4 linked regions of the Alligator mississippiensis genome follow. The protein of the gene in region 1 purifies or fractionates together with the protein of each later gene. This does not show direct contact. Links are inferred from orthologs where the notes say so. Each region holds a gene or a part of one and is shown on either strand. Other genes may lie near its edges.

Region 1 (7,690 bases):
TTCTTCACAAGGGCCAAATCCACTCTGTAACAAAATCAAAAGTGGGGGACCTCCGTTTCAAAGCACACTGCTTACTGTTGGATAATGCAGGCAAACATATTGCTTTCCCCCAAGTAGACTTAGTATCATGTGTTTGGCAAAGTTATATATAATATGCTCAAGTCTAGGCCAATGCCAACAAATCGACATCACTAAAGGACCAGATATACATTTAAGGGTCTCTATCCTGACTTAAAACTACCAGGCTTAAAAGTTAAATAGAATACTCCATTTCTAAAGCTCTACAGGTCATCCTTCTTCCCTCCCTACCCTTCCATGCCACAGCAGGCCTGGGAAAGGAAAAAGTGGTGGTGATGGATCCTCAAGTGCTGCTGCCCATGAAGTCCTGGAATGAGGGAGATGGGGGCTCCGGTGACACTGCCTGGGAGAGGAGTGCATATGAAGAATTCCTGGAGATGCAGGAGGTGCTGACTGCTCGGCGTGGGAGCTGCAAAGTACAGAATCTTTTCTTGTGAATTTCTGGAGAAGCTGAAAGCTTCACATAAGCAGGCAGCATTTCATGTAAGTCTGTAACCCAATCTCAGACAAGGCTCTTCAGCAAAAACTCCTGTAATAAGTCGCAGGCATCTTACTAAAGCTTATACATCTCTGATTTAGTTAAGTCTATAGGGTGCATCTCCACCCTCTGCCTTCAGCAGTGTAAGTCAGACACACGCACACAGGTAAAAAGGGACAGGACAGGGAGAGATCAAATACTGAATGACAGGCCAGGAACACTAAAATATTAGGAAGTGCCAGAATTAAGGTTTCTTGTGCAACCTTAATTCATTCCCCAGTGTGTATGCAGTACATCATAATCTTTAATTATCTATCACATCCTGTTTTTTGCATTGATCCCTTGCCTCATTCACTGTCCATGTTAAATGATACCCACTGAATGGGTAGCTGTATGTTTCTTTGGTTACTTGTGCAGCTGTAACCTTTATTTATTACACAGCATCTAAAGCCTGCACTGAACACAGAATTACACATTTTCTCTTGGGCACTTCCAAAGGTAGTTTGCAAACATTTGTGAATCTATCTTCACAACAACTCTGTGAAAAAAAAAAAGAGAGTAGTATTATTTCCAATTTACAGATCAGAATCTGAGGCAGAGATGAAGGACAAGTAACCAAGTGTCTAATACTCTGGATGTCTACTTTGAGATGGGTCCAGCTTTTTTCAGTTTGTAGAATTATGTAACACTTTCCATGCAAAGTTATAGCTAACTAAGGTGAGTGCCCAACAGTTCTGCATATCAAGGTCCTGGTAACTCAACCAGGAGTGATGCATGATTAGTGTTCAACAGTGTACATTTTGGTTTAAGTATCAGTACTAGTATCACAGAGGAAGTCTTTAGATGGGATCCAGTTTTCAACTGCCAGAACCACTAAGCCGTTCCTTTTCTTCTGTTTCACTAACTGGATACCTTCCAATTTCTAAAACAAGGGACCCAGAAATCACACAGCCACCTGCATCACTACTACACAACCCTTGCAGCACTGTTTTCCTTCCTGTGCACTGTACAAGGAAGGGGTCCATTTGCAAAAAACAAACAAACCACATAATAGGAGACAAACCTAAGGAGAGTCAGGATAAAAGACAGGCCATGAGCTGGGCCATATTATTGGGCTTTCTTTATGTTCTGAGTTTGTGCAGCATCTTGCACAATGGGGTCCTGGTAGGTGACTGGGCCTTCAACATAAGTTATTAGCACACTGGGTCAGACCAGTGGTCCATCTAACCCAGTAGCATATCTCTGACAGTGACAGGAGTGGATGCTTTAGAGCACTTGTGTCGAACAAACTGGGTCTCTGGACCAATCCTACGTGCTGGCCCCAACCCTGCAGGCTGCATGTGGTGTGCAGGCTAGACTCCATACCATGTGTGCTGGGGGCAGCACAGGGGGTCAGTCCATGGCACTACATGCAGCCCATGCCTCAGACCCTTGGGATCCTGCCTGTGCTCTGCAGACAGCGTGTGCCATGTGCTGGTCCTGGGGGCCCTGTGCACAAGTCCCAGGGCCAACACATGTTGCATATGGCACTCCGGGTTGGACCAGCCATGCAGGCTGCACGTGGCACAGGGGGCCGGCTTGGGAGATGCACTCCATACAACGCCCTTCTAGACCTGGACTCAGCATGCAAGGCCAGTCAACAGGACATCACATAGAGAGTGTTCCCTGTACCAACCCCATGCTACATACAGCATTCATGGCTGGTCCAGTGCTGTGTGCAGCATATAGTAGCCCTGAGGCTTGCTGTGCATGCAGCCCTGGGGCTAGCATAGGGTGTGTGCTGCCCATGGCAGGTGGGCTGGACCTAATACTGCATGCAGCACAGGGGGCCTGAGACACAGGCTGCGTGCAGCACCCCAAACCAACCTCCCATGCTTCCTTCAGCATGTGCCACAATTCAGCCCCAGTGGCCAGCGCATGTTGTATGGGGCTGGATCTGGTGCTACAGCCACTCCACAGGGGGTTGGTCCCAGCCTGGCCCATAGAATAGCTCAGGTATGCTCATCTACCCTGTGGGGCCCTACAAGTTTGACACCCCTGCTTTAGGAGAGAGCTGAACAGGGTATATCTAGAGTGACCTGTCCCATCATACCCTCCAACACATCCACCATTGGTTCAGGGAGGCAAGTAACAACAAAACAAATAGAAAATAAAACCCAAAGACAACTTGGCCCAGAAGGGCTTGCAGCACAATGGGACAACAGACACAAGTCCCCAGCTCTGACCTGGCCAGGGCGAGACGGTGGCTCTGTTGACCACTTCTGAGGCTCTGGATTTGCAGTAGTCGGACTGGAGCAGGGTGTTGAAGAGGGTGGACTTGCCCGAGTTGGTGGCACCCACAAGATACACATCCCCATTGCACTTCCAGGAGCCCTGCAGCTTGGAGATCAGCTCCTCCACCCCATAGCCCGTCTTGGCGCTGATCAGGTGAATGTCCACCAGGTGCTGCCTGCCTGCTGAACCCCTGATGCCTTTGGTGACAGGGTGGATGCCCGCCTGGGCACAGTTAAGCAGCAGCTGCTTTCGAAAGCGCTTCAGGTAATCATGTGAGTCTGGAGGCAGCAGGTCTACCTTGTTGCCCAGGACCATTATGTTGATGGTGGGGCCCAGCAGCTCGGGTAGGTCGGGCAGCAGCGTGTCAGGCAGGTCCAGCACATCGGCCACGTAGAGCACCAGTGGGGCACGGCCGTGGCGGGGCAGCTGGCGCAGGGCGGTGCTCACCAGGCTGCGGTACTGGTCCCGTGACACCTCCAGGCGCAGTGCCTGCTGGTGATGTACCAGGAGCCAGCAGCGCTGGCACACGGCACCCCGCAGCCCTCCCTGGCCCTCAGGCTCCCCCAGCAGGGAGAGGTATTTCTCACTGGGCATGTAGCCTGGCATGGCAGGGTCCTGGCAGTGCAGCTCTGCCCCGCAGCCCGAGCAGCTCACACTGCTGGTTGGCATGGATGGATCTGGCTGCCCCTTTGGCCTGTGCTGCCTCCGCTCCTGGCACCGCCTCTCCCGGGGGGGCTTTTTCGGCACCACCTCAGTGCCCCATGGCTTCTCCAGTTCCTCCGGCAGGTACTCTGGGAACACGAAAAGTTCCTCCTCGTTGCTGCCAGGCCCCAGGAGGTCCCACGGCACGGAGGCCAGCCCAGCAGGCAGTGGCTGGCAGCGCAGCCCGGGCCGCAGTTTGAACGGGGTGCCAAGAGCTCGGGCCCGGGCCTGGGCCCCAGCCACCAGCAAGCGGCGCAGGCAAAGGCGGTGCATGGCCGCGGCGGTAGCTGCCACCCGCGTGGGGAGCCCGGAGCACGCAGCGCGGGGCGGGGCGGGGCGGGGCGAGGCGGGGCGGAGCCGCTTGGGGGCGGGCCACGGGCTCTGTGCCCCGGGCTGGGCTGGGCGCCCAGCTCCCGCGGGGGGAAAGTTCCGCAGCGGCTGAAGCCGCCTTTGGGGGCGCTGATTCCCCGCCGCCTGCCCTGCCTGGCACACAGTAAAGGTGGAGGTTCCAAGTTGGAATCCCGAGTGTCCCCAACATTCGGGACAAAGGCGCAGGTTTCAGATGGGAATCCCGAGTGTCTCCCGGCTGGCAGAGGCAGAGCGCACAGGTCTGCAGCCAGAGATGCAGGGGGATGCACACGCCGGAAGGAGCTCGCAGGGAGTCACAGCGGAGCCCCCGCCGACAGACGTACCTAGTGGAGCAGCAGGCGGGGCAAGAGGAGCCCCAACAGTGCACCCTCGGGGAGCTCCCCACCCGAGGCTGCTCTGCCTGCAGGACTCCGGGTGGCTCGGCCCAAATTTACACCCCCCTTCTCCTTCATAAAGAGTGGTACGCGCTAATCGGCGCGGAAAGTGAGCACAGCGCATGCGCGCATACCAAAGCTTTCCCCTTCCCGTTTCTCTCTGGTGGGCGGAGCTCAAAGGCTCGGTTTCTTGCTCAGCCGTAGTACCGACCCGGAAGTAACGCAAGGACGTAACGTAGCCCGCGGAACTGCGACCGGGGAATTGGCGCAGCCGCAGTGCTCCCAGCGCATGCGCACTCCCTGCTCGGCTGTCTGGGGAGCCGGTGGCGCGCCGCTGCTTTCTTTGCTTGTCTTGTTCCGAGCTGTCCCCTCGCCCCAACCGCCGCCATGTACGACGCGGACGAGGGTGAGTGCGCCGCGCGGGCGGGGGGAGCACCGGGGCCCACTCTTGCCTCAGTCGGGGGGAGGCCTGTTCCGTTCCGGGGCGGGGAAGAGAACGTGGGTTTGCTCTGCGCCCCCCCTCCCCTCCCCTGGCGCATCGTGCGCCCGCAAACCTGTGCAGAACGCAGCGACTTCTGGGGGGAGGTTGGAACTCGTGCACCTTCAAGGCTTTCAAAGGGCAGCCTGCCAAACAGGAGTAGAGCAGAGCTGACACTGCTTCGCTTCAGGGAGCTGCCACATGTAGTGTGCCAGATGCAATAGGGGCTCCCCACCATCCAAAGCCGCCTGGGGATGGGGTTGCTCCTGCAAGTCGGGGTCACACAGGACTGGCCTAGTGTTTTTTCCCCTGGTCAAGAATCAGTGGCAGCGAGGAGCCAGTGTTTTCTGAGGGGCTGTGGCATCGGAAGAAAGAAATGCCAAAAGGTGGAGAGCTGGTGATGTTGAGTGGGTTGCCAGGGCGGGCATTGTTTTTCTTGGATGTGGGCCCCTGAAGGGGCATCCTAGCTATCAGAAGCAGGGAGCCTCCAGCCCCTTCCCTCAGTCTTTGCATTGAGTTCAGACTGACTTGCTGGTATTCACCTTTTACTGGTATTCACCATACCATTGCCTTTTCCTCCTTTCTATTAAGGACCAATGGACGAATAAAGACTTCTGTATTCAATTTGAAATACAGGGCAATGTAGCCTTGCCTGTTGTATTAAGTTCATTGGAAAGCTGTATGTAAATAAGTTTTTTTTTCTGCTAATGGATATCCAGTGTATGGACACATGATAATTCTTAGTCTGATTTCAGTGTTTTGCGTTCTTGTCAGATATGCAATATGATGAAGACGATGATGAAATCACTCCTGACTTGTGGCAAGAAGCATGCTGGATTGTTATTAGGTAACTTTCTGAAACTTAAATAAGGCATTTTGGTAGTAGTTGAGGTTGACCTTCTGATATGATACATTTCATCTGGAATTAGATGGAAATTCCAGAACTGCGTCTAGAATCATAAATGCTGTCACTTTAAGAATACAAGACCAGCTGAAAAGCGGTACACAGCTGCTTTATGTGTAAATTGCCAAAGATTAGTTGTTTTGCAATTCTGTGTCTGGTTAATGGGGAAGATAGTTGTGGGAACTCGGTGCAGTTTTTTTTCCTTAGGATACACTTAGTTTACATGTTAGATCCTGTTCTGTGTCCTGGCAATTCCTCTTGGAAGGGCCATATTTGAATACTCTGTTAGGAGAAGAAAATAAACAAATTCATTTCATATTTCAGTGATTGGTTTTGAAGAGACAGTACATATTTTGTGGATTTTTAAACATGGCTTCCAAAGTATCATATTTTGTTTAAAAAAAATAAAAATTCTTGTTCAGTAACTGAATGTACATTGTTTTTTCCCCTAAGCTCCTACTTTGATGAGAAGGGCTTGGTCCGACAGCAGCTGGATTCTTTTGATGAGTTCATCCAGATGTCTGTACAGAGAATTGTTGAAGATGCACCGCCTATTGATCTACAAGCTGAAGCTCAGCATGCTACAGGAGAAGTGGAAGAGCCGGTAAGAGGAGACCTTGTAGAGTCTCATTGTTTTTCAGGTGTACTGACTAAAATAGTATTTACCTCAATCAGCTGATATTACTCTTGTTTCACAAGAATGGAAATGCTAGTTCTGTTTCATCTTTTAACTGTGTATTTCTGCAGTGCATAAAGTCTCCTGCCACTTGGAAAGTTACTGTGTCCTGCTACTTCTTTTTTTCTTTCATCAGAAGACCAAGAATACAGTTAAATGGCTGTAGCAGCAGGCTCTCAGTTACTGCGATGTCATACAATTGCAAGGAAATATGTTATTGACAGAGGACAGTTAGAATGAGCAAGTAATCAAACGTAAGATTGAAAGGCTGGTCCAGAATCTCAATATTCTGTTGGTTAGGAACCTTCTAATTAACAGCTTACACTTATTTACGGATAATTTATACCCGTGTGTTCTTGTAGGTTAGTATTGTTAGATGAAGGCTGAATGGGAATCAGACTGCTGTTTTGCTAAATCGAGCAAGCCAATCAAACTTCCTTTTCCTCTTAGGTGAGGTGTGTCTCAATTTCCCTGTGAGTAGAGAGCCTATGAGGAACAGAAACAAGATCTAATTAGTAAAGACGGTTTTCTCTTAAAGGTTAAGTGCTATAGGGATAAATTACAAATTGCCAAAGTCAGTTTGAGTTAGATGTTGCAAAGGATGTTAAAACAGATAGCAAGAGGTTTTGTATGTGTACATGTGGATCCCACTCATGGTAGCTAAAAGCTCATTTAAGTAAAGACTTTGGAACTGGCAAATCAAGCTAAGCGTTTGACCTAGAAAGCTGACACCAGAGGTTAGTTAGTGACGTTTAAATTGAGCCACTGTTAACTGCCTTAAATAGTTCAGCTATTGGAAATCTGTCATAGAATGCTGCCAAAGCATTTTCTGGTGTAGCAGAGTAAGCTGTAATATTATGTAGAGGGGCAGTCCTAGTTTTAAGCCTGTGAAGCTAAACAGCCTTTGGGTTTGCTACCAAAGGCAAGTGGCTTGGCTCCTCTGCATTTACATTTTGCCCTGCGTACTGCTACAGAAAAGTTATAGAATCAGAAAATTAGGGTTGGAAGGAACCTCAGGAGATCATCTGGTCCAACCCCCTGCAAGTTCTAGTGATACCCAAGGAGTGCAATTTTGTTTCTCAGGAAAAAATACCCACAGTTAAGTGGGTGTATTCATATGTAAATACAATACCACTTTAAAAATGGAATTAGGGTGTGCTACCAGAAAAGACAGGGGGATTATACCTTAGCCCAGTATTGCTCACCATATCTCACCAGATTCCTCACAGTGATCCTTTGTGTTGGTTATGCTTGACTTGCATAACCAATTTTCATATGTCAGTGAATCCACTGCACAGGAAGTACATCAGCCTTCAGTTCCTGGCATCTGAAAATCATTACTGAGTTTCAAAATGCT
Region 2 (8,135 bases), on another chromosome or scaffold:
TGCAAGGGTAGCCCTGCCCCTTGACAGGTGCTCCACCTTGAGACCAGATGTCCCACCTCTAACCCCTGACCTTTACCACCAGAAGTCCCTCCCTTTGCCCTGGGAATACTACTTTTGGGAAGAAGGGCGCTACTATCTTGAAACCAAAAAAAAAAAAATCATACATTAAAAAATAAAACATCTATAACTTATTTTAATTTTATTAAAAAATATTCTTGTCCTGATTTATATGTGCTTGCATAGCTCAAAATACGGTCCTACTGGGCAGTAAGAGAGTGTATGTGGAAGGATGTGGTTGGGGAGTGGGGTGTGAAGTATGTGTTTGAGGTGGTGGCTGTGGGGCTATGGTGGGTGGGGTGGGAGGGACAGAGACAGGGCTGGGCTCCCAGCTCCATTGTGTGCAGCTCTCATGGACAGCACTTGAGCCTCATGCAATACAGCCAGGCAGACCCTGTGCCCAGGCTCTGTGCTCCTGCCACCCCACCCTGGGTCCATGCCAGCCCCAAGGCACTGGCACAGGCTCCGTGCCACTGCCCGCCACTCCCCTGCTTTCCCTCCCACTTGCCTGCCTGCCACTGTTCCAACCACTTCCCAGCTGTTGCTGCTCCTGCTACTTCTCCCGCCCATCTTGACTCCCTGCCTGCTGCCACAGCTTTCCATCCTCTGCCATTTCCTGCCTGCTGGCTGCTCTTGCTCCAGCCTGCCCTGGTCAGCACCACATGGTTTCCAGACTGCGTTGGCTGATTGCAGCGGTCGTTACCCCCCACTCCCCCCCATCCAAGTGGAAAGTTAGATAAGATTGGATGGAGGGAGGGCAGGGAACATCTAAAGGGTCACCAGGCCAGAAGCCACAAAGACTTCCGGTTGGGGGCTGGGGTGGAGTCTGGGGGCAGGGTGGAGCTGGGCCAGCCTTACTGCTCAGCTGCTGGGTTCCGCCACCAGTTGCCCCTGGGCCCTGCTGCCTTATCTTCAACAGGCAGCCACACAGTTAATACATTTTCTATGTTTTTTTTTAGGGGCGCTGTAGACTAAATCTAGCCTGTAGGCTGTATTTTGCCCACTCCTGGCTTAGGGTGTTTATAGATTTTATTTTTTTTAGGGTCAGAAAGGACCTATTAGATCATGGAGTCCAACCCCCTGCCCTGAGGGGTAAATGGATTCTAAATGTGTTCTAAATGGATGCATCATAACTAGGAGCAATAGGATGAACAAAGGCAAACTTAAGCAGAGTATTCGCAAGATCTACTTCACTGCTGATTTAGTCTTCTAAGGGAATCTGCGAATCCCATCACTTGTATCATTTAAAACTGAGCTGAACAAAATACTGAAAGATTTTCATGGAACAATATTGGACTGAGGGGAGAATAAAAGTTCTAGTTCCATGATCTATATAAATGTCTTCCACACAGCGTCCTCTAGTCAAGCCTGAAGTTTATGACAAAAGATCTGACAGCATATTATGTTATATAAGATTATCATCACATCCAACTATCAAACAGGAGGAACAGAAAACTGAAGTAAAATTTATTCAATAATAGCAAGTGTTACAAAAGTATTACATCTTGTTTATATTTTCAGTTTTAAATCTACTTATTTCAAAACGGTGTCTCTGTACATGTAGTGTTTAATGTTAAAGCCAGATTTGCAATTTTGAATGAGTTCCACACTAGTTTTTAAAGGGACACCACTCATTTTGAAGCACAGAGTGAGCAAAATAGTTTCAGGTGCTACCCCTGCTGCTGAGTTCCCATGCTGCATTTTGTGAACTAAAAAGATTCCTTGGTATTTATGTGGCTTTTCATACAGCAACCAGGAAAACTTACTACGAAGAACTCATGAAAAGCTTATGTATAAAATGAATACATTAAAAAAAAACAACCAAAACCCTTTCTTATCCTTCAGTGACAATACTCTTAGGCATTGCTTGTCACAATTGTGAGAGAGCATATTTCAGATAGACTGTTCCTTTAAATTTTAAATAAAACAACTGATTACGGGGAACTGTCATTCTGAGTATAAATATACCTATAATGTAACAAAGCTGAGAAGCCCAAAAAAGTGGCATCCATTTTCAGTCGTTAAAACTCAAGGAAACTTCTATGCTCAGATATGGCTACTATAGCACTAATGAACATGACCACTAAGGTCGCTATTTTCTGCTCTGCTCCTCTGTATATCCTTTTGCACAGGGAGATATTTATAAATATCACTTGGATGCTGCTGCTAGACACTAGGATTCTTGCATCACAAGCTGGCTGCTGTCACACCTTCTTGCGAAATGCTTTAAACAAATTACTTTTCACTTGCTCAGTTTTTCTTAAACAATAATCAAAATAGCCAGCTTGCAATATAAAAGCACAAATGCCTAGCATAGGCAGTACAAAGGCATCCTTGATTCTGTATCTACAAGTGACCTAATATGGGAAGGCAAAAAATACTAGTATTACATGAAGACGGGACTGTGCCAGCTGCCTGCAGTGATTCCAGCAGCCAGCTTCAAAGTCACAGTGGGTATGTATGTTTCTTAAGCATGTCTCTGGATATTGCTGTAGATGCCCAGGTTCCGTGCATGCAATACCAGATTCTTTCAGCCAGCAACGTCCACTGGGCCTAAACCCTGGAAGGCAAAATGACTCCTACTGTCTAAGCTCCATCTTGCCACCCACAGCAGTGAAACAGAACAGCTCTTACCTTTAGATTTCAGATTAGTGTTAGAGTTAGGCAATTATTTGATCTTCTGGCTTCCTAGCTCATTGATAAGGACTGTTCTTCATGTAATACACTGGAACGATAGGCATTTAAACTGCCCTCTCCCGTCTTTTGCCCCGGAGAATACCATATTTCTATATGCTATCTGTAGATTTTTCTCACAGCTCACGCAGAAAGCTTGAGATACCCGAGTGAAGTCACTTCTATTACACTGCTATGGACTACTTACATAAAACAAGACCGTTGACTTGTTTTATGAAGGTCACTTTGACTATCTGTAGCCTTTAAAGATGGGTCTAGGGAACAAGCTACTTGAAAAGGGCATCGGATTGAACTAGGATTCCCTATGAACAAAGTAAAATAGTTCTTCAGTTATAGCAGCCATCTAGGCCCAAATCAACCTCCTTGGCATGTCTGAGGAATGTCCCTATCACAATTTTACAAGATAGCCAGTTATAGCAGAGTATGCAGTTTTATTTCATGTCACTCCCTAGTTGCTGCTATGAGCCCTGATTTGTACAGCATTCCTATAGCCTTAATTCAAGGTTGATCCCTGTCACCCCCTTCCCTCCCACCACAGGGAGATAACTGCCAGCCACTCACCTCCAGCAAGATTCACGCAGTCCTCTCTCAGAGGAAACAGTTACTTATAGTAGGGCAATGGCCCATCAAGAAGACAGTTAAGTCACATGGAACCCTAGAAACCACCTCCTTCACTGCTAAACATGGACCCTTTCTAGGCAAGGTCCAGTGTCAGCCAGGGGTACAGGAAGCAACCGGGGGCTTGTTTTCACCTTTTAAAGGCCTTTGGAGTCATCTTGCTGGGCGGATCACAAATGCAGCACCTAACACAGCGCTGGCAAGAGGGATCTGCTTATACCTACCAGTACAGCAACAACGGGTGCAAGAAGTTCTGCCTCTGCTCCCCTGAAATTAGCCCTAAACCCCAGCCTCGCATTTATCTGGCCCCAAATAAAGCACGTTGGACCAAAGGTAGGCCTTGGTGTGCAGGGGTGGGGACACAGAACAAGGCCAGGGCACTGCTGATTCCTTGTCTGAGGCAGCCAAGTGGCTCAGTGGGGATGATGGGGGAGATCAGAACCAGCACCATTTTTGGCACAAGAGGGGAAGTCAGCTCGGGTAGGAAACAGCAGTCCCTGCGCACACCCCGAGCGGGGAGACAATGCCTGTGCCCCGAGAGCAGATCGCACGGAGCCGCCCAATGCCGAGGCGCAGCCCCGGCGCAGGGGCCTCAAACTCATCCAGGCGAGCGGCTCGGCGGAGCCCGAAGGTCGCCCCGGGCCGCCCCCACGGGCAGCAGCGCACGTGGGTCCCGTGGCCCCCACCCCCACGCAGCACCGGCCGGGCTGGGGCGGCGCCGTGACACGGCCCCGGGAGGGGGGGGGAGGAGATGCCACGTGTCCGGGCGCTGCACGTGGGGCGGGCCCGCGCCTCCCCCAGGCTAGCGCCGCGGCTCCGCAACCCGCAACCGCGCTGAGGGAAGGGCGGCCAGGCCGCCTCCGCCCGCACACATCCCGCCCCGCCGCCTCGGGGCTACCGCCGCCACCTCCGCCTCAGGGCTGCCGCCGCCGCCGCCGCCGCGGGCGAAGCAACCGCCCGGGAGGAAGGTCCCGCCCCGCCCTGCCCAGTCGTAGGGGCTGAGTTGTGGGGAGGCCACGGCCGCGAGGCTCTACAGAACGCAGCTCCCAAGTCGGCCGGGCCCGCCCCAAGACCCTCCGGCAGGACCTGCCCATAGCCCGTGACTCACCCGCGCGGGTGAAGGAGCGGGGTCCCCGCCCCGTCCTCCCCCGGCCCCTTTTCTCGCGCCCCTCCCCCCAGCGCAGGAGCGAGCGGCCACAGTGCACATGCGCCCCCGTCAGGCCTTGGCGCGTGCTCGCCGCCAACCGCCGTTCCCCCGCCCCCCCCGGCGATTTGAATATGCTAATGAGAGCTCGGCGGGAGCCCTATGGCGCGGCGGGCAGGTCATCACGTGTCGCAGGGACGTGTCCTGCGGGGGCGGTGCCCGACCTGCCCAGGCTGCCTTAAAAGGGGGAGTCGAGCGAGGAAGCGCCTCAGTCAGAGACAGAAAGTGCTGGGGTGGGGGGTGCGCGCGGCAGCTCCACCCAAAACTTTGAGTTACATCCACGGGGGGGAGGGAGCGGCGGCCGCAGCAGCAGCCGGGCAGCCCCCGCCCGCTGCGCCTCACCCCCCGCGCGGCCGGGCCGGGCCGGGCCGAGCGGGCCCGCACACAAAGGCGGCCCGGGCCGGGCTACCCCGCGGCGGGAGCGCCCCGTGCACAGCACTCACTGCCCCGCATCCGCCCCGCGCCGCCCCCGGCCCCCGCCCTGTCCATGTAGCGCCCGCCGCGGGCGCCGCCGCCGCTCCGCACTATGCCCATCTTACTCTTCCTGATAGACACGTCCGCCTCCATGAACCAGCGCACCCATCTGGGCACCACCTATCTGGACGTAGCCAAAGGCGCGGTAGAGACTTTCATGAAGGTACCGGGCGGGGAGCGAAGGGGCGCGGGCGGGGCGGCGCGGGGCCGGCTCGGGGTAACCGTGCGCTTTGTCCCCCCCCCGCAGCTCCGCGCCCGGGACCCCGCAAGCCGCGGGGACAGGTACATGCTGGTCACTTTCGAGGAGCCTCCCTACGCCATCAAGGTAAAGCCCCATCGAGCGTGCGGCGCTCCGCCCCCTTCCCCTCCCCCACCCCACCCCCTCGCCCGCCCCGCCCCCCGCCCGGCGCCGGGGCCGGGGCGGCCGCGCTGGTGTCCGGCCGCGGCGGCGCTGACATCAACATGGCCGCCATGTTGGCGGCGCGGGACGCGAGCCGCAAGGCACTGTGGGTGATCCGGCGCGAGTTGCGAGAAGTGACAGCGACTCGCTCGCTCCGGGCCTGGCTGGGGGGGGGCTCTCCTCACCTCTCCTCCCCTCCCTGCGCCCCCTCCCATCTCTTTCACCCTGCTGCCACCCCCGGGGTAGGGTGGGGGCAGTGCCCTCTTGGCACCTCGCAGGGTGCCCTGGGAAGCACTCGCCTTGTCCCCAGAGGGACCCCCTCCTGTGGGAGCCTGTGTGGGGAAGGGCAATCCCAGCCCCCCACTATCCTGGGATAAGCCCCTCTCTTGCCTTTCTCTTTTCAGGCCGGATGGAAAGAAAACCACGCAACGTTTATGAGCGAGCTGAAAAACCTGCAGGCTGAAGGACTGACAACTCTTGGCCAGTCCCTCAGGACCGCTTTTGATTTATTAAACTTAAATAGATTAGTAACTGGCATAGACAACTATGGGCAGGTAGGTTGACGGTTAATAGGGGGAACACCTAAAGGAAAAACCCTCAAAAAACCAACCCTGGAGCTTTCACAAAACCATACAGGATTCATTGACAAAAATGATCTTCCTTCATGACACTGCAGTTGAAAGTGTTTGGGGCTACTTTGAAAGAACCATTCAGCCATCAGAGCAGCCCCAAGCAGGACGTAGTTTTTACCCAACTTCAGTTTGGTTTTTCCTTAATAGTTGTAAATATTTCTTCACCTTTTGAACACTAACATACCTTTTGAAGTTGTCATTTTTTTTTTTTTCCAGTTACCATGACTGTCAGTTTTCTTTTACATTTATCAGGAGCCAGGTAATTAAAACCTTTGTTTCAGGTCAGCAGCTGATTTGCCACCAGGCTCATGAAAGGAGGAAGCGTCTTCATGTACAGTGCTGTGCCATCAGTAGGGTTGCGCTTTGGGAGTTTAGCTTTTTTCTGAAGTGTTATTGCTGCAGCAGTCACAAATATTAGGCTAATTGGAGCAGAGACTTAATCTTGCGTGTCAGATTTTGTCGTCTTTCTTAGCATATTCCTTCACTTCTGTTGTACACCACCAGATCATTCAGTTTCTGACCCCTATATAAGAACCACAAGAAGCTCTACGTGCACTATTATGATGTATTGGAGCACAATACAATGTTCCTTCTCTCACAAGTTGAGCACGTGCTGTGGGAAGTGTTCAATTCCTGTTTAGCCTAGAACATAAGGAATTAGGAACATGAAGCAAACCATAGGTTTGTTTAGTATAGTAGTGAGTAGCAAACCTGATCATTTGAGAAGGCATATTAATTGTATATTTTGTACTTGAGACATGTTATCTCACATTTCCTCTCCTGGTTTCCTCTTGTGATGTAACCCTCCCTCTAATGGCAAAGAAATGGTTGCTGCTTCTTGTTGGTCAACTGGAGTTACTCAAGTGACATCAGGTGCTTTACAGAGGAATTCTAAATCTGAATATACAGTCTCCTCTTCAGTGTCATGTTCCTCTTGCCTAGGAGGGGCATTTAGACTTCTCATGTTGCATTACTACTAGATGAAAGTCACCCTCAATATTTTTTTGAATGTAGATAGATTAGTGAAACTTTGAAATGCACTACTTTCCCATACAGAGCTACTTTTTTAAATCTATTAACGTATGTGCATGTTCACCTTTTTTTCTTCTTCCCTGAATTCTTGTGTCAGTTGAATTAGGTCAGGGGTGTCAAAGATATTGCCCTCAAGGTAGATATGGCCTGTGGTGTTGCCCATGGAGAGTGGCCCCACATGTTTCATACAGCGTGTGCTGAATTGGATCCATGCACTGCATGTGGGGCTGGCCCGCACTGCATGTAGCATGTGGGGTTGGTCCAGGGTGTGCTGCATACAGTGCCTGCACCATTGTGGAACTGATCTGTGGGCCCTGTCTGGCCTGTAGGATGACACCATACCAGTTATCTGGCCTGTGAACTGGCCCTGTTCCAGTTCATCTGGCCCATGGGGCTCAATGAGTTTGATACCTCTGGCTTAGTCTCATGATGTTGTCACAAAAAAATTGCTATCCCAGGCATAAAACACTAGAAGCCGACTTTGTACTATGGATGTTGATGAAAACTGATGATGCTCACATTAAGTTACTTATCCTGAGTGAGCCAGCCAGTTTAGGGTTTCTTTTTTTCATTCAGATGGGCGGGTGAATTGATGTTCCCATTGGCTGGTTGTTGTTATGAAGCAGTGCTTGATAATATGAAGTTGTTTTCATCTGAGGTGGATCAGACCTGTCTGTAGTTCCTTGATTGCAAGTCTTTCCAAGCTTGCTTATTTTACAAACTTCATCAACTGCTGCAACCTCTTCCATTTGTTGCAGTTGGGGAAAGGTTTCTGGGATATACATGTTTGTGTATGTGATTAAACAAATGTTTCCTAAATTTAAGCATCCTTTGCGCGTGTGCACACGTGTGTGCACATATACGCCTATATACATAGATGGCAAAGGATGCTTAAACTTAGGAAAGGTTTGTTTAATCACTAATATATATATGTTTGGCAAATGCTACATCCTGGACTGCCAAGGGCTTCCATTTCATAGATTTCATAGACATTAGGGCTAGAAGGAAACCTTGCAAGGTCATT
Region 3 (7,903 bases), on another chromosome or scaffold:
TGCACTGGTATATCTCAGCAAAGCACAGCTGCTGAGTCAGGTCACCCGGAGCTGCCAGAAACACACAAATGGTCACATGCTTTGTTTGCAGTGGCAGCAGCTGTCTGTTGCCAGAACTTATGTAGGCAGAACCAGGTAAGTCTAGATCAGACTTCTCTTCTCAACCAGGGTGCTGCAAGTTCCTTTTAGGGGTGCCACAGGGTGCTAGCCCTCTTAGGTGTACAAACAAGAGTCACAAGATAAACCAGAGATTTAAAATAGGAATCCACTGTGTGAAAACCATTCTGCCGTGCTGTGGCCTTTCAGAGTTCTTTGTAACGCAGAAGAATGGCTCTATTATTTTTCCATAGTCAAAAAAACTATGTTCCTCCAAACTATACACTGTTTTATTGAGGTATTAGCAATTGGGCAACATGACCAAGAGCAGCTACATACAACAGAGAATATGTGAACATACAAATTACTAGGTGGTAAGGACTCTGTGGGGGAGTTTTATATATGTGGTGAGGTTTCCAACAGCAGCCTGGCTGCCAGCTCAAAAAGGGCTTTAAGTGATTGGTGGGGCATTCTCACCAATCAGGTGATGACAGGGGAGGAGCCTGCCCTGCAGGGGGGGGGGGCGCGAGGCACAGAGCTGGACCTGGTTGAAGACTGCACATCCCCTCTTCCTGATTGGTCCATTCACAATCCAGGGGCAGAACCTCTGGAGGGAATAAAAGAGCAGCATGCCTGGCACATGGGACTGCTGTTGAGGAACGGAGAAGAGGATGGACAAGAAGAGGTGGTGAGAGCTGGCCAGCAGGGCAGAGCTGTTTCCCCAAGAGCCCCAAAAAACGCCCTCACTGGACGGGAGTAGCAAGCAGCTGCATCCCCAGTCCTGCTGCTGAGCACAGCAAACCGTGTACAGCTCAGTGCACAGAGCAAAAGACCCTGGGAGCTGCACGAGGCAGCCAATGCTCCCTATAAGGAGTAGTGGTCTGTGAGTGTGCCGCCTCAGTCCATGAGCACGCTGCTTCGGTCTGGTGTGGGACACTTACCAAAGGGGGCCGGGGACTGGGGCCTGGAGCTGAGAGGCTGGGGGCCAAGGGCTGGAGCCGAGAGCCTGGGGGCTGGAGCCGAGAGGCTGGGGCTGGGTGTTGGCTAGAGGCTAGTCCCTGAGCTGATAGGCTAGAGGCTGGGAGCCGGTGGAGCCTGCCCCAGCCTCCATCTCTGCCTTGCCTCAACTCAGGGAGGAGCCGCTGCCTGCCCCAAGTGAGGCTTTGGCGGTTCCGGGACACTGCTCCGTTCCCCGGCCCTGATGCCACATCTCCCGAGGCCATGCAGGGGAGCAGAGCAGTTCCCTGGAGCTGGCAGACCCTCACTCGGGGCAGGCAGTGGCTCCTCCCCGAGGTGAGGCAAGGCAGGGATAGGGGCTGGGGCGGGTGGCTGGTGTGGGCTCCGCCAGCTCTGGGGAAGTGCTCCACTCCCCGGGCCTGATGTGGGGAAGCAGAGCACTTTCCCGGAGCTTGCGCCAGGCTCCCACCCCCACCTTGCCTAGGAGCTGACCTTCAGCTCCTCTCCTGGTGCACGGCCTTGAAAAGGCTGTGCATGGCCACACTTTTAGTTGTGCGTGGCCATGCACGTGCGCACTTTAGAGGGAACCTTGGAGGCAGCTCTGGTCTATCCCTGGCAAGTGGCCAGGCTTTTTGGTGCACAAGCGGTGCATGGAAAGATATCCTGGGAGCTGATTGGGCAACTTGGGTCTCCGACCCATGGCATGAGGCCAGAAAACCTGGTGCAGATAGCGCTGCACAGAGGGTCCATGAGCGGACCCAGACCCTAGGAGCTTTATAAGGCAGCTCGGGTCTTCCACCCCGGCATGAGGCCAGGAACTTGGTGCAGGCAGTGCGGTGCAGAGGATCTGCGAGCAATCAGAGACCCTGGCACTGCACAAGGCAGCCCAGCTCTCCAACCGTAAGCAAGAGGCCAAGCCCTTGGTGTACATGACGGTGCACAGAGTCCTAAGGGGGCAGTATCCCAGAGAAAGCCCGAGGAAGCTGGGCAATAGGTAGAGCTCTCAGTGCACCTAATGGTGCACAGGGCTATGGGCAGGCAGGTGGCCCTGGGGAGACTAGGAGGGTGGTGAGCCTGTCAGAAGAGGAGATGCTTCGCTGTGAGTTACCAGGAGACAAGAGATTCCCACAGGGGAGGAGGGCTCACCTGGCACACAGGTCAGCGCATGGAGAACCGCCTTGGAAGCAGCTTGTGGCTGCTCACATTAGCCCCGGCCCTAGGCCGAGTGACCGGAGCCCCACAGTGCAGCTCCACTTTAAACTAAAAGAGCCCTGGTGCCCAGGGCAGGGCCTGGGAAAGGGGAGAACCCCCAGTGTGAGACTGGGGAGTTGGAGCCTGCAAGGGCTTGGCTCCTGCAAGAGAGCGAACGAGCCCTGGGTGCCCAGCGCAGGGCACCAGGCTGTCGAGGAGAGCCGAAGGCACCGCTGGGGAGAGGCTCTTGCAGGATTGGCCACCAGGGGATGAGCATCGACTTCTCCAGAGAGGAAGCATAAGTTACTGGGGAAGTAGGCCCTGCAGGGGAGACTGACACAGGTGAGGAGGGTCTGCCACCTCCACCCTCCATTGCAGGAGGTGTGTGTCCACATCCTAAGGGCCCTAAAGGTTAGGGGTGCTTCAGGGAAACCCCCTGGGGAGGTGCTGAGTGCACTCCCTATTTTGAGGGTGTTGTATTAGGGGCTATATAGCTAGAGGTATTCTTTAAGGGGGTTTATGTGTTTTAATGTCTCAATGTGTATATTAGTATTCTTATTTCTGAAGGTTTAAAGAAATATTATGGTTAAGTTACTATCCCTGTGTGTTAATTGTGCTGTATAGGTTGTAAGTTATTTGGTTCATATTTGGTATTATATGTTAATTGTGGAATATTATATATAGTATTATATGTTAAGCCTTGTAAATATTCTATGCTTTATATTGTTTGTATTTATTCTTGTAATAAATTGTACATAATTAAGTATTTGCTTTCACCCGAACTCTATGGAGAGGGGAGGAAGCTGTTGTAGTAGCTGACCCCTTCCTCAGCACCCTGCCTGACCACCACTGTCATCGGGGGTGAGGGCACACCGCCCCAGGTGTACCCAGGCTACATATATATTTATATTTCTCTTTATGGTTCATGATCTTAATAAATGTGTAAATAGTTAAGTTGTAGTGTCCTGGCCTGGCTCTATAGGGAATGGAGGGAAACTGTTCAGTGTGCAGTTTCCACCCACAGCGCACCTGCTAACAATCCCCTTCAACTGGAGAAGGGAGTACTTACCCGAGTACACCCGGGCTACATGCAGCTCAGGTTGATTTCTGCATTCCTGCCCATTCCTCTGAGATGAGGATCTCTAGGCCAGATAAAGAGGGAGCAGGCAAACTGAATCAAGGCCTGTGACCTATATTCTTTCCTAGGAGCACTTTAATTAGCCTGGGGTGTGATAATCACTGGCCTGGGCGTCTTGACACCCTAGAAACTGTCCCTTACAATCCGCTTCTCTCAGGCTAAGCATTAGGATTCAGACTGAACCACTCCCAGGATCAGTCTTCCTCCAGGACACTATAATGATACAGCCAAGAGGGGCGAGGGCCCTTCACAACTCCCCAGCACCGAGGGTCTGCTGCAAGTTGACAAAGGCTGAGAACCACCCACCTAAGAACCGCACCCCCCCCCCCCCCAAGTCTGCAACTGTACATGTTGTATGGTCTTGGGAGAAGGCCAGAAGCAGGTGATTTTTGCAGCAGGCATCCCTGGCAAGGCAGGCTTCGGCAGGTGAACAGGAGTCTCAGCCTCTACCTTCTGGCATGGTGGGGGGAGGGGAAAGAGAGAGCAGGTTCCTCAGAAAATTAAGGTTGCAAGGGCCCTTAGGGGGGCATCCAGTCCACCCCCTGCTCAAAGCAGGACCATCCCCAACTACATCATCCCAGCCAGGGCTTTGTCTAGCAGGACTTAAAAACCTCCAAGGATGGAGACACCACCACCACCCCTCTAGGTAACCCGTTCCAGTGCTTCACCACCCTCTGAGTGACAGTTTTCTTCATATCCAACTCCTGCTCTTCTTCCTTCGCGCCCATAACACTGAGACTAGAACAAGGGCTGTGATCAGTTTCCCTCCGCTGCCCCCTGCATAGCAACAAAAGGCGCCAGACGCAGTCTTGCCACTCAGCAGGCGAGCACGCGTGCCTAGGACCAGGGTGCCCCGCTCTCCAGTTTCCTGCGTGCTTGGGTTGAGATGTGTGGGCGGCGGAAGCGGCCGCTAAGACGTGCTGTACCCCAGCAGGGCTTTTATTTCCGTGCTACACGCGGTCCCGCCCGCGCATTTGGAACTGCGCCTCCACCCGCTGAGCACGCTCATCTCCGAGCTCCCCCACCCCGCCCCGCCTGGAAACTACAGTGTCCAGCATGCACCGCGCCTGGCAGCTCTATGTTGGCGCCCACCTGGATACTACAGGACCCAGCATGCACCGCGCCTGCCCCTTGCGCGCGTCTGTGCGCGCCGCCGCAGTGCAGATTGGGACTGGTAGTTTGTGGTGTACAAGCGGGGAGTTAGGAGGGAAAAAAAAAGTACCCGGGAGCGTTGCATGCCGGGAAACGGCGGTTCCTCCGTGCGCGTGGATGCCCCTTGACTTACGTTCCGCGTTACTGTCCCTTTTAAGCGTGGCCGGGCGCTGCGCCTGCGCAGTAGCACCGTGACCTCACGCTCAGGCGGTGGCTCGTGACTGTTGAGCTCCGTCCCGTCCCCTCCCCTCCCCCCGCGGCGGTGGCAGTTGAGCGCGCGAGTCCCGGTTTTGAGCCGGCGGCGCGAGCGTCGCCATAGCGACCCCCCCGGCGGCGGGAGGACGGACGGGCCATGGCGGAGCCGGCGGTGACGGAGATCCGCGTGCCGGGCCCGCGGCCGCTGCGGCTGCTGGAGTGGAAGGTGCCGCTGGGGGCGGCGGTGCAGATCGGGTCGGTGCTGGCGCTCTGCGCTCCGCTGCCCCCCGCGCCCCGGCCTGGCGCCCCGGGGCCGCCTCCCGCCAGCGCCGCCGCCGCCCCGGCGCAGGGAGCCCGCAGCGGCGCCAGCGCCCGGCCCCAGCGCGCCGGCAGCGAGCTGCGCCTCAAGGCGGAGCGGCCCGGCGTCGTGCGGGAGCTGTGCGCGCGGCCCGGACAGGTCGTCGCCCCGGGGTGAGCGGCTGCGGCGGGGCGGGGAGGGCCCATACACGCACGGGGATGGGCAGGGACGGATAGGTAGGTAGACAGACTTGCGCTCTTTTCATTTGCCATTGAGCCACTCTATGAGAACGGGGACAGACACAGAGGCACGTAAGGGTGGGCGGGCAAACAGATGGGTACAGGTGCATAGGCAGGTGGGCAGACAGCCGCCGCTGGGACCTGTTCCACTCGGCTGCAGAGCGACTGGAGCCCCATGGTGATGACAGGTTGTGTCTCGCGTCCCACCTCACTGGGGTGGCTTGGCCTGGCCCCACATGCTGCGCTTAGTGGGTGATGCCAGTGGGGAAGGTTGAGGAGGTGTTTTGGGGCAGGCAAGGAGCAGAGCTGGAGCGATTCCCCTGGCCCGGGATGGGGCACTCAGGGCTGGCACATCATCCGCAGAGCAGCGCGCTCTGCTTTCTCACGCTGTAGAAGAGCTGAAGCAGACTTGCACGTGGCTTGTTCTTGGCCCCTGATGTAAGGATCTGGGAGCTGCCACAGCGTGTCCATGCTGTTGTCTAGGAGTTCATCTTCAGGCAGCTTATTCAGTTCTGTTTGTAATTTGTGTCCTAGAAGAGCACCAGGGATCAAACAGCAAAAGTCTCCAGCTTCTTTTTCTACCCCACGTTCAGACTCATACTGATTGCAGTAGGTTTTGCCTTCCTCTGTAGTGGGGGCATGGCCCTCGACCCAGGATTTCTTGAGCAAGTATTACAGCATTTCACAGAAGCAGGATGTGGGATGCCGTGGTTCCCCTGCTTTACTTGTGTCAGGTTAGGGTGTCAGGTCTGTGTTGTGGGTTGACAGTGGTTTTACAAACCATTTAGATTATGGACTGCACAGGATAGTTTGGGTAGGGATGATCTTGCCTCAGGAAGGGGGTTGGAGTAGATGACCTCTGGAGGTCCCTTCCAGCCTTGCTTCTTCATGATTCTTGTTTGGCTTAATAAGTAAAAGCTGCCTTAAACTAGCACCTTGCAAGCTGGAATGCTCAGTTAACCGGCATGCCGGCTTGTTAAGGTAAAAACAAAACCGGAAGTGCCCACCGTGGCACTTCTCATTTCACCGAGCCCCCACAGCCCATACGCTGCCAAGCCCCCACAGCCGAGGGCATAGCAGGCTGCACGGGGCCTGCCTCTGTCTTGCAGGAGGGGCGGCAACGCCCTGGACGCAGCAGGAGAAGCGGCGGCCCAAACAGGCAAATGCTGGGCCTCTCAATTAACTGGCATATTTTTGTTATCCGGCACCCCCCATTCCCCATGGGTGCCAGATAACAAAACTTTTGCTGTATAATGTTGGATTGTCACTTGACAGCCAGGTCTTTAGCGGTATGATGACACGACTTAGTGGGACTCGTGTTTACTACAACGTCGTTACCATGAACACTACGATATTTTAACGTATAGGGTGTGGCTTATAAATACCTGGGTTGACCAGTTCTCTGTATTTGGGTGAGCAAGTATGTGTGGTAATTTTGGGGGTTATTTTTTTTTTTACTCTTTAATCTTTGTTACTGAATCTGAAACTTTGTTTCAGTAACCTTGCATACAAGCTTCTCCTGAGTGACTTGTTTACTATTCTTTTTTTTTCTTTTTCTTTTTTTTTAAGAACTTAAAAGTAGTTTCAACTTTTGAATGGGATCTTTCAGCCCTGTAGGTTGTTTGTCTAATGACTTTCCTACCCTTCACTTCAAGCAGATCTTCTCAACAGGAAACCATTGAAAGCTTCTACTTCCTTTGTTTTATGGTGGCAAGTTATTTTCTTTTACTGCAGTTCTTTTGAGACAGATGGATGCATAAAGGCCTGAGTTTGTCTTACTGAAAGAAAGTGGTATTTGTAGAAAACCTGTGTAGCTAGATATTTTTAAAGCTCCAAGAAATATGTGTCAAAACATGTAAGCAAGCTGAACCTTTGATAGAAATAGTAATAGGAAATGCATATATAAATGCAGTGAAGTGTGCTCCTGGTTCTTGAAAGCACACTTTTTTTTTTTTTTTTAAATGATTGTGCAAGAGAAAAAGTGTGGGCTTCTACAAGTGTTGTTTTGGCACAAGGCAGCATATATTGGTGATGAATGTTTTATGGCTATTCATCTGAAACAGACGGAGAGAAGGTACCTCAGAAGTTACTGCTTACTTCCTTGGGGGCTTTGGAAAAGTCCATGAAAAGAGGATATGAAAACTAAATCCTGGAAACAGTAATATAATTTGAGGGTCAGGTGCAGACATAGTTATGTGTCTGGACCAAAATCAAGAACATTTGTGGCACTGCTGGGTATTAAAAAGTTGAACAGTTGTTTCTTTTACTTTTAATACCTAACATAACAAAGACTTTGGTGGTTTAAGACAGCAGGGTTTTTAGAAAACAGTATACACTGGAATATGGGTTTATGTTAGATTTGATGCCAGCAAATATAAACACTTCATTTTGTTACGTGGAAATTGGTATGCTCAGTACTTGTGCTGGATTCTCTCACTCTTAGTCCAGTTGATCACAATTAGCAGACATGTACTTTTCCTTTTTAAAAAGAAATAGACTGGTGCTGGTTGCTTTGGACTTAGTAAAGTACCTAGAAGCTACATAAGCTGCATTCAGTCTTGAAACATTGGTTGTGATCAAATGCTCTTCTGGAGCTTTGGATATTGGACTGGTACATTTTCTTGCAGGTTATTGTTA
Region 4 (7,431 bases), on another chromosome or scaffold:
GTGGCGAATTGGCTAGAGGGTTGCACCCAGAGAGTTGTAGTGGATGGGTCAGTATCGACCTGGAAGGGTGTGGGCAGTGGAGTCCCACAGGGCTCGGTCCTAGGACCGATACTCTTCGATGTCTTCATCAGCGACTTGGACGAGGGAGTGAAGTGTACTCTGTCCAAGTCTGCGGATGACACAAAACTGTGGGGAGAAGTGGACACGCCGGAGGGCAGGGAACAACTACAAGCAGACCTGGACAGGTTGGACAAATGGGCAGAAAACAACAGAATGCAATTCAACAAGGAGAAATGCAAAGTGCTGCACCTAGGGAGGAAAAATGTCCAGCATACCTACTGCCTAGGAAATGACCTGCTTGGTGGCACGGAATCGGAAAGGGATCTTGGAGTCCTAGTGGACTCCAAGATGAACGTGAGTCGGCAGTGTGACGAAGCCATCAGAAAAGCTTATGGCACTTTATCATGCATCAGCAGATGCATGATGAACAGCTCCAAGAAGGTGATACTTCCCCTCTATCGGGCGCTGGTCAGACCGCAGTTGGAATACTGCGTGCAGTTTTGGGCGCCGCACTTCAAGAGGGATGTGGATAACCTGGAGAGGGTCCAGAGAAGGGCCACTCGTATGGTTAAGGGCTTGCAGGCCAAGCCCTATGAGGAGAGACTGGGGCACCTGGACCTTTTCAGCCTCCGCAAGAGAAGGTTGAGAGGCGACCTTGTGGCTGCCTATAAGTTCATCACGGGGGCACAGAAGGGAATTGGTGAGGCTTTAGTCACCAAGGCACCCCCGGGGGTTACAAGAAATAATGGCCACAAGCTAGCAGAGAGCAGATTTAGACTAGACATTAGGAAGAACTTCTTCACAGTTAGAGTGGCCAAGGTCTGGAACGGGCTCCCAAGGGAGGTGGTGCTCTCCCCTACCCTGGGGGGTCTTCAAGAGGAGGTTAGATAAGCATCTAGCTGGGGTCATCTAGACCCAGCACTCTTTTCTGCCTATGCAGGGGGTTGGACTTGATGATCTATTGAGGTCCCTTCCGACCCTAGCATCTATGAATCTTTGAATACCACATCCATGCTTTGTTATCAAGGAGCAATGCCAAAGATGTAATCATACTTTCTGCTAATTCTGAAAAACGAAACCCTATACTCTCACAAAACACCAAATTACAAAACTTTTCAAAATTAGGCATCTTTATCATATTAAAGGAATAAAGAAATTTGAAAATGTGACTTAATACGTTTATCAAGATGTGAAAGTGTTGTGGTAATCTGAAACACATCTTGATAAATGTATTAAGTCACATTTTCAAATTTGAGGATGGAAATCTGTACATTACTGGTGTAACATCTTTCTTGATAGCAGCAAACTGTATAATGAGCATTGTAGCAGCTACCAGAGGAGAGGCGGCTAAATTATTTTTATCTATAGTGCCTCTCTTTTTTTTCCAATGGCTATAACATGGCAAACCAGTTACGCAAGGGAATGCAGATTACTAGGTCTGGTTTCTGATGACATACAACATTTCTAGAAAGCTTACAAAGCTGTTGCAGTTATAAATGACATATTGGAGGTAGGATGGGGATAGTTTTGTGACACTTTTTGCACAGCAGAAGAATCTGAGATTTGAAACTTGAGTTTGTGTAGAAATAACCTAATGTGAGAAGCAGTGCAGACTCTTGGTCTGGATCAATCTGATTGTCACCTGATGATCTCACAGAAAAGCACTTGAGAATTTCATCCTGAATCAGCTACTTAAATATTGTTTTTTGACTGTGCCTCTTAGGTCAGTGGTTCTCAACCTCAGTAGCCTCCAGGCAAAAATCTACTACAATGAAGAAAAGTCTCACTGACTCAAAACTAGATAGGCAGTATGTGGCCTCAAACATCCATAATGCATTAAATTCTTAAAAAAGATTGAGCAGCTGGACCATACCCAGGATTTTTCCTCAGTGCCAGAACTAAATAATTTTTCCTTAGAGAGATATAAAGTTAGAGAAACAAAAATAGCATGAAAGTCAGTCCTAGGAATAAAATTCTGTTCTTAAGTTTTACTTATGTCAACTATTTACCTCAAAACAGTAACTGCTCTTTTTTAACTGGGATATGTTTTTTGCAATGCTCTCATTTGGCTTCCTATAGCAAATACCTAAGGTCTAAATCATTAAAATATTTCTACACATTACAATTTTTTGTATTTCACATCCCAGCTGAACCAAAGTGATACACTGTTTGCAAAAACTAAGAGAAAGAGCTTTCCCATTACCTTGATTTCCACATTTCTTGTTTTTAAATTAAATCGGATTTGAAGTTGCAAATGTTCCACAACAGGTGTGAATATTTTCATCCAATTCTCTTTCAAAGGGGTATATCGGTTTGCTGGTACAGGGATTTTCCTCATTTCAACTTTTTCACCCTAGAAAAAGGGATTTCAGTTTTACTTAAAAAAAGAAAAATTAGACTAATGCCCCATGGATCCCAAAATAAGGGTCACCCCTCTCCAAAACCCCCACATGCACATTTTTGTCCAACCCATTTCTAAAATTACCCAGGCCACCCACCCCCACTGGTCTGAGGAGGCACAATTGACCAGTATGAGAGGCCTGTCCCCTCCCCACCAAATCAGTGGGTTTCCAAGATGCTGCCCTGCTTTGTGCAGTCCTGTGAGAACTCATTTGAGATGTGCAGCACATTAAGTGGCCCCGAGCTTCCCCCAAACCCATGCTGACACGCTGGCTGCTAGAAGACGGCCTGTCAGTGTGCTCAGTCACCAACAGGTTTTTTCCCCGCCCTTGAACAGAATGAATAATAGTCCAACAGACAGTGGATTGCAGGACTGCCACACTCACAATCCACCAAACAACCAAGCAGTGAAAGAAGAATGTTATGCCTAAGTTTTGCGCTGGGGTGCAAAGTGCTAGTAATACTTGTTGGGAAGGGGCTGCATTAAGGACCAAAGGCTGCCATCAAGGACATCAACCTTTAAACCGGAAACCTGATGAGGTTTCTCTGCTGAATCCTACTTCATTCCCATCTAGAGCTCTTCAGCTGTAGCTCAGCCAATGTAGCATCAGTGTGGATTTGGGTAAAGGTTGAGCCACTTGCATGTCCTGTAAAATGATTTACCTCTAAGGTAAGGACTGCAGAAGGCAGGGCAGCACCTCATATACTAACTGGTTTATGGGGAGGGAGGTGGTCCATCTTGCCCAGTCTCAGTGCCCCCTTTTAGTGAGCTCACTGTCAACCTTTGACCTTCACTCCTGTTTTGTCTCATGAATTCAGTTAACACATACGAAACAGCCCCCTCTATAAACAGGAAGGGCTAACTGTTGCTCTGCAAGCATAACATCCATGTTCCCAACATGCGGCAGACAGGCCTAAGAGGAGGCCTGTCCTGCTGTGCGTGTCCAGGCATAAACAACTGGATTAGATGACCTCTGGGGGTCTCTGCCAGCCCCACTTTTCTATGACTCTAAATTGGGCAAAATGCTGTCAGCAAGACGGCAGCGCCAGGGGGCTGTGGCAGCTGCTCCAACTACCTGGGCACGCATCTCACTTTACAGTGAGGGTGCAAGGCTACTTTATGGGTGGAATAAAGATACCAACGAGCGTCACACTGGGGCAGCAAGCAGGCACCGAAAGGGAGCGGGCAGAGGGTCTGACCAGGACTCACTCTTCCTCTCCCACTGGCAGCCTCCAGCATCTACAGGACCGCAGGGACTCGGAAGTCCGGATGCAGAAGCCGTTACCCCTTTTTTCCCCAAGGGCCTGCCCAACCCCTGGCCCCTACACGCCGGGGGGGGGGGGAGAAGGGGGGTCGCCCCGCCCCTTACACACGTCACGCCTAGGCCCCGCCCCCGGCGGGCGCGGCGGGGGAGGGGGAAAACCCCCTGTCTGCCTCACGTACCCCAAGTGCGGCGGTGGGGGCGGCGGCGGGAGGGAAGCTGGGCCTCTTGCTGGGCCGCGGCTCCGCCGTGTCCATGCGGCTCGCGCCAGCCGCTCGCCGCTTCCGCTTGCCTCTTGCCACCACGCCGGTGAAGCCGCCGTCGACCTCCACGGCGCTCTGCGTCTCCATGTTGGCTGCCCCCCCGGGCAGGTGTCCCGTCACCTCCATTCCCCACGTGCGCTGCGGGCCGCCGCGCGTCCTATGCGCATGCGCGCGAGAGGGGGAGGGCGGGGGCTGTCCCCAAGAGGCGGAAGTAACCTCCCTAAGACGGGCGCGTCCGGCGGCAGGGCGGGGAAAGCCTAAACCGGATGTTGCGCTCTCAACGCGCTTCCGGCGGGTTGCCAGGGGGGTGCAGGGGCGGTTGTGCGCGTGAGCGGCGCGGCGCAAGGCGGGTCGGCATGTCAGGCGCGGGGCTGGAGAAGCCACAGCTGATTGCGCACCTGCAGCAGGCGCTGAACTACACTGCCTTCCAGGCCCTCTGGGTGCCGCGCAGCGCGCGCTTCCTCTGCCTCGGCAGCCTCCCGCGCGGCACCGGCATCATTCAGCTCTACGAGCTGCAGAGCGGCCGCCTCAGCCTGCTGCGCCAGGTCCGCGCCGCCCCGGGTGGGGGGGAGGAAAACGGCTGGTTGCTATGGCGACGCGTGGGCTGGGGCGGGCTGCCAAGCGTCCTGTCCCGTTCTCCCCCACCCCCCCGGCGCACCATGCGGCTCCAGCAGGGGCAGGGAGCACAGGGTGGGGAGCAGAAAGCAGAAAAGTCGCTATGGTGGGGAGCAGAAAGCAGAAAAGTCGCTATGGTGGGGAGCAGAAAGCAGAAAAGTCGCTATGGTGGGGAGCAGAAAGCAGAGCAGCGGATCAGGTGGGGATCAGAGTGACACTGGCAGGGAGGGCGCAGGGATAGTTTGTGGCAGGCCGGGTAGCCTGGTTGCTCTCTGCCCTGCTCCTTCAGCTTGGGGAACGGGCTCCTTTATTCCGCTCCCATCCTGATGCTCGTCTGCTATTACTTCGTTCCTTATTTTCAAGATTTTCCTTTGCAAGTAAAATGCCACAGACTTCCTTTACTGGACACGTTGCCCTCTGTCAGGCCCACAGTTGCCATAAGCTCAAGATTTGCTGCCCTTTCTCCATCTAATGAAGGAGTTCTGGTTAGTCAAGTACCCCAGAGGGATGCGGTTGTGTTGTTCCTGCTGGCTGTTTCAGGCTTTGCTCAAAGTTGCAGGCATGGTGGCAGCTTTTGAGGTACATTGCAGCTCCACGTGAGAAGTCCGTGTTTAAAATGCAAGTAACGTTTGAGGATTTGCTAATCTTCAGGAGTGGGAGTGTCTCGGGTGCATGGGAGTTAAAGTTCCCAGGGGGCAGGAGTGCATAAACTTTCTTGGTTCACAGTTCTGTAGGGATAACACATGGAGGGCACGGGCTGCTTCAGACTAATAGAAAGAATAGTTTAATTATCTCTTCTGTACATACTGTTAGACCTCTGGGATGAGTTCAAATTTGCCTTACTTTATAATTGCAAATCATTAGAGACCACAGACCTGTCAGCCTTTGAATATTATTAGTGAGCAACGGCAGGGGAGGAGAATTACCATATTTACTCAAATCCAAGACGAGGTTTCTTTCCTCTCCATTCAGTATGGGGGGAGACACTCATCTTGGATTTGAATACAAGGCAGGGAGCAGGCAGGTACTGTGGCTCCAGCCCAGCCCTGACCTGGTCTCAGAATTGGGAGTCAGAGCCACAGCCCAAGCCACCCCCACAACCTGCCCCTTCATCTCTGCTTCTGTTCCTTCTGCCCCTCTGCTCTCCCTTGCCTATGTGCTCAGTTTTAGCTCTGGCCTGGGGCACAGAGTACATGCTGGCTTCTGGCCCTGCCCAGCCTAGCAGCACCAGTTGTGATGGCACCAGCTCTTGCATTGGCTTCAACCCAGAGCTGAAATTGCCACCGCTGCAACTGCTGCTGCCAGGCTGGGCAGGGGGCTGGAGTTAGAGCCATGACTGAGGGAAGTGGCACCAGGAAGGTGGGGCCCACAGGCAGTGGTGGGCAAGCAAGTGGCAGGGATAAGTGTTGGGAGGCAGGGGGTGGGGAGGTACAAGTGAGGAGGGGGTACAGATGGCAAGCAGCAGGGTAGGGGCGCAAGATGCAGGGAGCAGTCCATTGGACGGTGATGACATGTAGGGGATTCACATGCACCCCCTGAGAGTCCTGGTGTACCCCCTAACAGCCAGTGTTCTCCAATTAGGAGACAGGCAGGGGGGGCAGGCAGAAGTGCTGGTGGCCCCCCCTCGTGAGTGCTGGCTGGCTGGTGGGGGTAGCAGGAAAAGCGCCACTGGCACTTGCAGGAGTGTCGCTTGCACTTTCAGGTCCGCATGAGCGGCTGCAGGGGACACTCCCCACCCCTGTCAGCAAGATGGGCCACAAGAGACCCCTCCCCCCAGTTGGCGCAGTCGGCTGCAGGGGGACTTCCCCTCCCCCGCCGTGGTTGCTGACTGGCTGCTGGGGGGGCACGTGCCCCCCTGACTCAGGAGGCACCAGTCGCCCATGCCATTGGACACCCCCGCCACCTGCCACACTGACGCCTGCTCCTTTGCCATTGCTTGCCTCCCCATCACTGCTTTTATCACCACTGAGGTGGGGGGGGACAAATTTAAGATGACCCTCCAAGAATTAGATTCTATACTTGGAAAATTACAAACTAGCAAATTGCCTGTCAAGAATGGGGGGGGGGGGGGAGACGAGTGCTGCCACCACCCCATGCTGCTGTCGCCTCCAAGGAGCAGGGTGGCAGGGGCTCTGTCCTCACCGTCATTCTCCCCATCCCTGCACCGTTGCTGTGTCCCCGCCATCATTCTTGACAGGCAGTTTGCCCTGCACACAGCACTGGCTGGAGCCACGCCCCCAAGAGCGTTACAGTTACAGACTGACACACAGATGGACTAAGCCCTTATATATCATAATTTATAAATTTTTCATATATATCTAATTATTGGGGGGGGTCATCATAAATTTGAAGTCATCTTGGATTCACGTAAATACTGTATTGTTTTATAGAAGGTTTAATTTGCATTTTATACAGGAAACCCTTGGTATTTGTGGGTTCAGCATTCACAGTTTCAGATATTCGCAAATGCTGAACCTGCATTTTAAATACACTTTGAACACTTACCGGAGCTCCTTGGGAGCTCCGCGTTTGCTGCTGCTGGGCTTCTGCCACTGCTGTCGGGCTCCTACCGTCCCCGCTGGAGCCGTGCCCCACCCCCCAGGTGCTGGGGGCACTGTGTTCATGAGCGCAGTGCCCCATTCATGGATTTTGCTGTTTGTGGGGATCACGGGAATGTATCACCCGTGAATGGTGAGGGTTGCCTGAACTGACTTCTAAGAAGCTCTGTATCTGCAGTAGTGTTTTGGTGATCACTTTAATGTGCTGATAAAAAAAAAAAAGTTACCTTTTTTTCTTTTAAGATTGAAAAGCCCAAGCCCATTAAATGTGGA

Evidence for each region.
Region 2: the proteins of POLR2B (region 1) and INTS6 purify together in Homo sapiens (affinity purification with mass spectrometry; 3 studies listed by BioGRID and IntAct, with this or other methods). This does not show direct contact. The link is inferred for Alligator mississippiensis from reciprocal best matches to the Homo sapiens genes POLR2B and INTS6.
Region 3: the proteins of POLR2B (region 1) and CTDP1 purify together in Homo sapiens (affinity purification with mass spectrometry; 3 studies listed by BioGRID and IntAct, with this or other methods). This does not show direct contact. The link is inferred for Alligator mississippiensis from reciprocal best matches to the Homo sapiens genes POLR2B and CTDP1.
Region 4: the proteins of POLR2B (region 1) and DNAAF10 purify together in Homo sapiens (affinity purification with mass spectrometry; 3 studies listed by BioGRID and IntAct, with this or other methods). This does not show direct contact. The link is inferred for Alligator mississippiensis from reciprocal best matches to the Homo sapiens genes POLR2B and DNAAF10.

Annotation. Positions count from the first base shown.
Region 1 is NC_081825.1:140,546,582-140,554,271, reverse strand, and holds the start of POLR2B (DNA-directed RNA polymerase II subunit RPB2), read left to right. Parts: upstream 1-4,550; 5' UTR 4,551-4,662; coding exon 4,663-4,681; intron 4,682-5,527; coding exon 5,528-5,600; intron 5,601-6,110; coding exon 6,111-6,261; intron 6,262-7,690. Other genes in the region: NOA1 (nitric oxide-associated protein 1), read right to left, coding at 2,782-3,805. UniProt on the Homo sapiens protein: Catalytic core component of RNA polymerase II (Pol II), a DNA-dependent RNA polymerase which synthesizes mRNA precursors and many functional non-coding RNAs using the four ribonucleoside triphosphates as substrates.
Region 2 is NC_081824.1:416,203,227-416,211,361, reverse strand, and holds the start of INTS6 (integrator complex subunit 6), read left to right. Parts: upstream 1-4,950; 5' UTR 4,951-5,099; coding exon 5,100-5,210; intron 5,211-5,294; coding exon 5,295-5,372; intron 5,373-5,473; exon of another isoform or gene 5,474-5,553; intron 5,554-5,851; coding exon 5,852-6,001; intron 6,002-8,135. UniProt on the Homo sapiens protein: Component of the integrator complex, a multiprotein complex that terminates RNA polymerase II (Pol II) transcription in the promoter-proximal region of genes.
Region 3 is NC_081826.1:112,945,521-112,953,423, forward strand, and holds the start of CTDP1 (RNA polymerase II subunit A C-terminal domain phosphatase), read left to right. Parts: upstream 1-4,685; 5' UTR 4,686-4,886; coding exon 4,887-5,200; intron 5,201-7,903. UniProt on the Homo sapiens protein: Processively dephosphorylates 'Ser-2' and 'Ser-5' of the heptad repeats YSPTSPS in the C-terminal domain of the largest RNA polymerase II subunit. This promotes the activity of RNA polymerase II.
Region 4 is NC_081824.1:217,097,220-217,104,650, reverse strand, and holds the start of DNAAF10 (dynein axonemal assembly factor 10), read left to right. Parts: upstream 1-4,274; 5' UTR 4,275-4,341; coding exon 4,342-4,530; intron 4,531-7,401; coding exon 7,402-7,431. Other genes in the region: RNA-binding protein PNO1, read right to left, coding at 2,264-2,413, 3,905-4,111. UniProt on the Homo sapiens protein: Key assembly factor specifically required for the stability of axonemal dynein heavy chains in cytoplasm.